Canis lupus familiaris: one gene and its partner. The protein of the gene in region 1 interacts with the protein of each later gene in a pairwise test. Links are inferred from orthologs where the notes say so. Each region holds a gene or a part of one and is shown on either strand. Other genes may lie near its edges.

Region 1 (3,809 bases):
TTGTTTGTTTCCTAGGGTTAGGGGTCTCTCATGTTTTGTCACCCTCTCTGATTTTTCCCACTCATTTTGAGACTCTGTCTTATATCTCCATATATTCCCTCCATAAGAAGGCATGATCCTCCTAGTGGAGGGTGAGAAAAATGGTATTGCCAGTCCAGCGTTGTGCATAAACAGTTTACATTAATTAAGTAAATCATACATTTTTAAAAGTACACAGATGTATTGCCAACAAAGAAGGCAAATTGTTTTAAATGTCTGGAACTTAGGGGAAGATGACCTATGGGCTGTGGAAACTGGCCAGATAATCTCCATGTAAGTAGGTAGTCAATAATCAATAGTCTTTAGGTTTTATCTGATAGCACTTGGCTGGGGGGGAGGGGGGAATGTCAAAGATGATTCAGTATTTTAACTTTGAGCCTTCCTTGTTTTTGTATCTTCCTTGCATGGTGCTCAGTTACACTCTTGTTTCCATTAACAGACAACCGGGCAGAGCTGATGGAAGTCAACCATGATGACAGAGTGGTCACCACTGAGCATTTTGACCTTTCTCAGGAAATGGAGCGCCTCACTCTGGACTTGATGAAGCCAAAAGGCAGGGAAGTTGAGAGGCGGCTCACAAGCCCAGTCATTAATACCAGCCTCGATACTAAAAATATTGCTTTTGAAAGGTACGCATTAGGTTCTGCATTTTAATGTCTAATCCCTTTACTGCCATCTTTAGTGGCATATAGATATGAATTGGAAATTATGGGTGGATTGGGATTTTTCTAATATGGCATAATAAACATAGAGGGTTTTAATGTTGCTTTCTGTTCTAACCAAGTAGAAGCCATAGCTGACATCCTCTTTCATAGATCATTTTTATAACACATTGGTTAAGTCTTAGAGAAATGGCTTCATATTCTTTTATGGGCCCTTTATAATGGCTTTTACTTGAATTTTTTGTTTTGGTGTTTGGAGATCCACAGGCTCCCTAGTCCCAAACCATGCAGCTTTGAGATTCTGGAAGGTAGAATTGGCCCAGTGTTGATTGTGGTTGTACTGGCTAGTCAAATTCACATTTACCATATAGTTAAGTGTGGTCCTTTCCCTCTGTGAGGACTAACAGTTTAGAGCAAAAGTCTGGAGGTGTTTTCAGTTCTATTCCAGATTCTACCAGAAGAAGCTTCTGGAGAGGTTTGTGCCTTGGTTAACCTGGATGACAGCACTGTCTCTGGTCATCTGCCTCTGGGCATTGCAGAGGCATGGAGCACTTCTGAATGTTAATGGAAGTAGAGGCTGTCAGAGCTGTTGGCCTGAGTGTTTTTACCACAGGACACCTTGAGCTGAGGGAGTAAGAGCCCTGAGCGTTTGCCTAGGATGTCACATCCAGCTCTGTAAACCAAAGCAGCATAACCTGAGCTAACGTGGACACATATTATCCTGGATTTCGGCTTTACTCTAAATGAATGTACTGACTTTCCTCTCTTTTTCTTTTCTTGGTTTCCAGAAAATTTGTAAGAATGAGAGTTTTCTGTTGAGTCAGACATAAGACTGAAGTGCCTTTTTCTTCAGATTTAGGAATTAGGAATTAGGGCATCTATTAGTAGCAGAAGAGAAAACCAAAATGCCAGTTTGTGTGGTGTCTTGATACCACTGGTGCTTGGGGAGTGGTACCCCCAAGAGACAGGGTCATCACTGCCCCCCCCCCCCCCCCCCCGCCCCGTCACTAGCCTCCTTGCCCTGGCCTTGCCAGGTGATGGCTGTCTATTAGGAGCTGACTGTGGCTTTACCTGGGAGGGCCTGGGGAAGACCCCTGAGGCTTTGGCACATCCCTCTGTAGACAGAGCACCTTCAGCTAGGGCTCTGTGGTGAAGCTGGGAATAGAGGAGCCTCCCAACCCCGCCCCTCCCACTGCACCCCCTGCAGCCCAGCTGTGGAGATAGGGGTGGGAAGAACATGCCACTGACAGGGCTGCTGAAGTACCGTGCGGCTCTGGGAGTGGCTCAGTCTCTTCGGCTTTCAGTTTCCTTGAAGGAAAGAAAGGAGTGAATCTTGAAATGACGTTGCTAAAGTCCCCATGACCCTAAGATGTCATGAGAAGAGCTCCTGGTTCCTCTGGTTTGTTGGCAGCATTGTTTAAGTCTGTGTTTGCCAGTGTAATTTCCAAAGAGTGTGACGATTACTGGCAGCTGCCCCAGTGAGGGGGGTAGATGGTACATGAGGGCACATTCCATTTTTATGGAGGACTAAGGTACATCTGGTATTTGGTCACTAGGTCTTCAGAAGGTTCAAGCTAACCTCCTTTTGAAACCAATGGTTGGTTTTGGAGAGAGTGTTTCAGGAAGATGGCTGCTTTTTTTTTTTTTTTATGGTGCTCAGAATGCAGGCAGTCAGTGAGTTTCTTGTGCATCAAGCAAGGATTTGAGCCACTTGAGTTGTAGAAGAAGTGTGTACATATCCTTTCCACTGGTGGTGGGAGTGTGTATTTGTTTGAATTTGGAAGTTGTGCTCACTTGTGATAGTCGTTCTCCTCCATCTCTCTCCTCTGATCTGAGATTCTGATACCTGCTTCCTGCATGAGTTTTTGGCCTGCCAGTATGCACCCCCTGGCTGCAGTCTGGGCTTTTCTCTTCTCTGAAAGATTATGCTCTGCCAGACTTAAACAGAATGTTCCCTGTCACCCTCAGAGCCTTTCTCTGAATTGCTCAGTAGCCTGCAAGCCACAGTGCTTGCTCAGTGGCTTTTGGTATGGCAGTCTCAGTGGAGACAGGCAGAGGTAAAAATGGCAGAGGGGGAGCTAGGTGTACTGTCATTTTCAGATGTCTCTGCCTGTAAAGTTAATCAAGGGCCAAGGAGTTATAGAATTTGGGTTTTAAAATAGGACGCTGAATTTAATAAGCAAGCTGTCAGAATGGGAATGGAAAGGGAAGTGGAGCAGCCAGGATTGCCAGCCGAGCAGATGCAGAGGAGTGAGCTGCATGGCGGTCCCCAGGGAGAACCACACAGCTCTGCTTCCCCAGCAGGCTCGCAGGATGAAGGAGAGCAGACTGAGTCATCCTTTGGTACCTTGGAAGACTGTGTGCCAGAAAGCAGTTCTTTCCTAGGCCAAAATATCAAGTGACTTGGTGAAGGACAAGGAACTGAGGACTGACTCTGTTAACTTAAAAGGACTATCTTGATTTTCAATTATTGATGGCTAAGAGAGGACTCTGGTTTATGAATCAATGTGGACCCTAAGCCCTTTCCCCCAGGATTGCAGTTTTGTTTCTGAAAAGTGAAGTGGAAATAGCTAGCATTTGGTGTAATTCCTTTAGTGTTTCTCTCTCTCCCTCCATGGGTCATGCTGCATTAATTGTGGACAACTAATTGGAAGAGTAAAGCTCTGGTCCTTCCTTTCTCTGATGGGCTATAAACATACATGTAAAACACTGCATACCCCATCTGGACTAATGAAGGTGTTTGAAAGCATGAGATACAAATGACATGTATCTTCTTTGTGAGTTGGGCGATCTGGCAGTTCCTGGAGCTTCCTGCGTGACATCCCACTTCCTTCTGGGGTTAGAGCAGAAGGCAGACAGTTGTTCTATATGGAGCTAAGTGCAGCAGTCACAGTGGAGCTAGGATGTGATGTCCTAGACAAAAGGGCAGACCAGGCTGGTCAGGGTTCCCTTGTGAGTGGTAGTATTTCCCAGGGTGAGCTGCTTTGAAAAAGAACCAGAGTTTCTTGGCTGTTCTTGCCTCTAAATGCATTTTTCGCCCAGGAGTATGTTAAGTTGAATAACTGAGTTTTCAGGCACTTTACCAATGCTGTAGCTGCCGCTGGAATG
Region 2 (4,397 bases), on another chromosome or scaffold:
TTCACAGTTTACTTAATATTTATTTGACTTCTCGTTTTACAATTAGCATATCATTTGATAATTAAAAATAACCTGTTTTGTTAGTATCCATGCTTTGAACCAGGAAGCTCCACTTTTTAGAATGCATCCTAAATAATCAGAGATGGAAACAAAGATGTTCACCACAGGATTCTTGATAATGGTAAAAAAGAAAAACTGCAAAACACATGTGCAGGAAGTGGAAACTAAGGAAATTAAAAATCACACGCTGACACACAGGAGTTTTTTTAAGTGGTCTGCAGTATTTAAATTAAGTTAAAAAAAGCTGACCATAAAATATAAAATACAAGATTATCTCAACTTATAAAACTAAAAACATATAGCATGCATAGAAAAGACAAGAAAATGGGCCAAAACGTGAACATTGAGCTATCTAGAAATGGATTACAAGTAATTTATCTTCTTTTTTGTTTTGTTTTTTTACTTTTTCCAAATTTCCCTCCATGAGCACAAATGGCTTTCACAGAAAATACTAGTTGGAAAAAAAAAGAACACACCACCAGTGGAAACCACTCCCCTCCTAGGGTCTCCCTACTACAGTGCTTGGGTGTGTGTGGGGGGGTCTCTTTCTGGAATTACCTGGTCAGCCTGCTCGGTAAATGAGTCTGTCATTTTAACCACCACGCTAGCACTGGCCTCTTCATTCTCCACCACATCAATGCTGGCAACCCACTGGCGTGAAAGAGAAAACAGCTTTGGTCAAGAGACAATAAGTTGTCATTCCATTAAAGATCCACATCCAGAAATGGGGGCAGTGGAGACAGATAAGAAGCTTAAAAGAAAACCCGCTAGAGAAAGGATCTCACTACTGACCTCTTGGGATCCTTACAGGGACATCTGGCTTCAGCCGGCCTACCCCTTACCCAGCCCCAGCCCAGCCCATCTCATCTGCCTCCAAACACCTCACCTTCCTCCTCCACTCTCACCTCTGAAGACAAACCCTGCACTTCTAGAGACCCTTAGACCAGGGGTCTGCAAAAATCTTTGGTGTAAAGGGCCAAATATTCTGCTAGCTTTACGGTCTGTGTTGCAAAAACTCAGATCTGCTATTGGAACCCCAGAGCAACCACAGACAATACAGATACATGAATGGGTGTGGCTATATTCCAATAAAACTCCAGAAATGTGAATTTCGTGTAATTTTCACATATCACAAAATAGTATTCTTTTTTTTTTTTTTTTTCTCCCATTTAAAAATGTGAAACCATTCTTAGTTCTTGAGCTGTACTGGCAGGCCAGGTTCAGCCTTTGGAGGACTAGTTTTCAGACCCCTGCCCCAGAGCACAGAGGGATGGCTCTGGGTCCTCATCCTGCAGTATTGTGGCTTTCTCATGGGGGTTAACAATTAACAAGGCTAGTGTGAAAATTAACTGAAAAAGCTCCAAGCACAAGTGACACCCAATTCTTTCTCAGAAAGTTCCCAGGGCCCCAAGGTCCACAGGCCCTGGAGATAAGTATCTCTACCACAAGCTTTGAAGAACACAGATTCCATTCAAGAACACTCACTACTTCCATGTCACCAGCCACAGGGGACACAGACACATACACCAGGTTGTAGCCCCTCCCAGAGCTGCTAGAAATGAAGGGGTAGGGAGGGGAGACAGTCAGAGGTAAATCAGCTTGCCAGATTTTACCAAGTGCCCCCACCAGGGGAACTCACAGCCCTCATATCTGTAACACATGGATACCAACAGGATCTGCTATATCCAAATTTGGAGAAGAGTAAATGAAATTAAGAGTATGTAGGAACACGGTGCCTCGCCCCTGGCCAACACTCCTTACAAGTTCCCCACTGTCACCCCTCAGACCCTGGAAGGCGCCTGTTGAGAGCAGGAAGGCGGTGGTGTGCTGAGAATCCCTTAGAAGTCCTATATCAGGTTCTGAGCTGGAAGGAAACCCTGGGACCCTGTCTCCCTGGTTCCTGCCGCTACTAACTAAACCCCCGAGGCAAAGCTCCCCAGATCTCCAGCACATTTTGTGCAAGTGACAGCTGCGGCGAGGAGAGACAGGGCGGAGTCTCCACCAGGATCGCAGAGAGGGTCTCGGGCCAGAGGTCAGCGCCACCCCTACTTGCACCCTACGGGGAGCAACACCTGACGATGCAAAGTAGTCGAAACAGTCTTCGCAAAACAAGAAGCCACCAGCATTTGCGGGGCTCCGCCTTCAAAATACCAGGTCCAGAGTGGACCGCAGGAACCGGGTAGTTATGGTAATACTCATGGCTGACATTTAAAGAGTTTTTACCACGAGTCAGGTGCTTTACAACCACACCAGTGATCTCATTCAAGGCGCACAATGCCCTAAGGGGTAAACACTAACGTTACCTCCATTTTACGGATGAGGAAAGTGAGATTCGAGGGCGTGACGCAACAGCGGCCCGCGCCTGGCAGTGAGATCCCAGAGCCGCCGCCTCGTTGTCTCTCCCCGACTCTCAAGCCCGCTCCTCTCCATCGCGCTCTGGAATTCTCTCGGGGCCTGGCCGAGCCCGAGCGAGCAGCCCCATCCCCCGCCTCCTTGCACAGCAAGGGCCGGGCACCGCGGGCGCAGCGTGGGCACACACGCGGAGCCAGCCAGCAGCCAGGCACACCTGCGATGCACGCGCAAGCACTCGGGCCGGTGCGCACACGGGCCCCAGCGCGGTCCAGCGCCCTCGCGGGCTGCCCGGGCAGGCCCCGATGCTCCCCGATCACCAGCGCGCACACCTGCCACCCAACACCAACGTGCCGCTCGCCCCAGCCGCGGGAGACCCGGCCCAATTACCCAGCTGCGGGCCCGGAACGCCTGCACGCATCGGGAGCCCAGCGCGCCCCTGCCGCCGTACACCAGCACCCGGCGCGCCTCGCCCGCCGCCGCCGCCATCCCGCTGCTCCCGCCCGGCTCGCCGAAGGCCCAACGCCCGGAGCCGGAGCGCGGCGCCCGGGGTCGCCCGGCCCCGCCCCGGCCCCGCCCCGGATCGCCCGGCCCCGCCCCGGCCCCGCCCACCGGCCAAGAGGGATCGCGCGGCCGCCAAGCCTGCGCGGGGCCCGCGGCTGCCGCCTAGCGCGCGGTCCCGCCGGACGAGCCCCGCCGCCCGCCTGTGGGTGCCCGGCACCTGGGGCTTGCAGGGCGCGGAGCTAAGGGCCCCCGGGGAGGGTGGAGAGCAGGTGTGCGCTCACGATGCCGAGAGTCCGTCGGGCCGACGGCACAAACCACGCATATATTTTACCTTCAAATAAGAGTGCAAGGGACGCCTGGGTGGCTCAGCGGTTGAGCGTCGGCCTTTAGCTCTGGGCGTGATCCCGGGGCAGAGGGCGGGGTGCTGGGATCAAATCCCCCATCGGGGGATCCTCTCCCTGAGAGGAGCCTGCTTCTCCCCCTGCCTATGTCTATGCCTGTCTCTGTGTGTGTCTCTCATGAATAAATGAATAAAATATTTTTTTAAAAAATAAATTAAATAAATAAATAAGAGTGCAAGCTCTGAAGCTCGACTCCCTGTCTAATAGCTGTGTGTCCCTACGCAACTTACTCGGCGGCTCTGTGCCACAGTCGCCTCTCGGTAAAATGGGAACGCTAATGGTCTGTCCTCCTAGGATTTTGGAAAGGATTTTTCAAAATGATACTAAAAACAGTGTGTGGCTAGTAGTAGGAGTTCAATAAATGCCGATTGAGCATTATTAATACTATTATTTTTGCCACTACTTCTGTTACATCACTGCACTTCTTAGAGATTGTGAGTTTGGGAGAAAGAAAATGCCAGGCTGTTTTAGTGGGGGCAGTTGGTACCATTTGGTGGGGCTTAACTGTGGGCCTTCAACATTCTTGTCAAATGGAGTCTTATATACAGTCACAGAGGTCCAAGGACACTATTATAGGACCTGCATCTTAAACTGTCTCTACCAGACCAAAGGCCTGCTGTCCCACGTGTAGTCAAATTTTTTAGAACTCTTGTAATAATTTTCGTGGTCTTATTGTTGTTGTTTCAAAAGCACTGATTTGTGAAGTGTTAAACATTTAAAGTATAGTATGCTACAATTTTTGTATCACTGTTTTGGCAATATTATACATGTTTTGTGTCACCCTCCCACCATACAGTGTTGTACAAAGCAGACACACAGATGTTTGCTCAATACACTTGTGCCAGATAAGGCACACAAAAATATGTTCTTAGGGAACAGGATGCAGCCCACAACACCATCTATTATCAGAAGCTTCATTATCAGGAACAGAATTGCTAGAAGACCCGATGAGAAGGTTAACACCATTTATTTGGTGCCCTCTGGATGCCATCAATCCCATGACAGATTAGGAAACTGAGCATGAGAGTCTCAAGCACTTGCCCAGAGAAATAGGAATTTTAACCCAGATCTTTAACAGAGCCC

What was found.
Region 2: the proteins of ANKRD13A (region 1) and QDPR interact in a two-hybrid assay, tested with the Homo sapiens proteins (2 studies listed by BioGRID). The two-hybrid records come from large-scale screens. The link is inferred for Canis lupus familiaris from reciprocal best matches to the Homo sapiens genes ANKRD13A and QDPR.

Annotation. Positions count from the first base shown.
Region 1 is NC_049247.1:17,499,074-17,502,882, reverse strand, and holds part of ANKRD13A (ankyrin repeat domain-containing protein 13A), read left to right. Parts: intron 1-478; coding exon 479-668; intron 669-3,809. UniProt on the Homo sapiens protein: Ubiquitin-binding protein that specifically recognizes and binds 'Lys-63'-linked ubiquitin. Does not bind 'Lys-48'-linked ubiquitin.
Region 2 is NC_049224.1:63,498,824-63,503,220, reverse strand, and holds the start of QDPR (dihydropteridine reductase), read right to left. Parts: upstream 2,925-4,397; 5' UTR 2,899-2,924; coding exon 2,800-2,898; intron 712-2,799; coding exon 619-711; intron 1-618. UniProt on the Homo sapiens protein: Catalyzes the conversion of quinonoid dihydrobiopterin into tetrahydrobiopterin.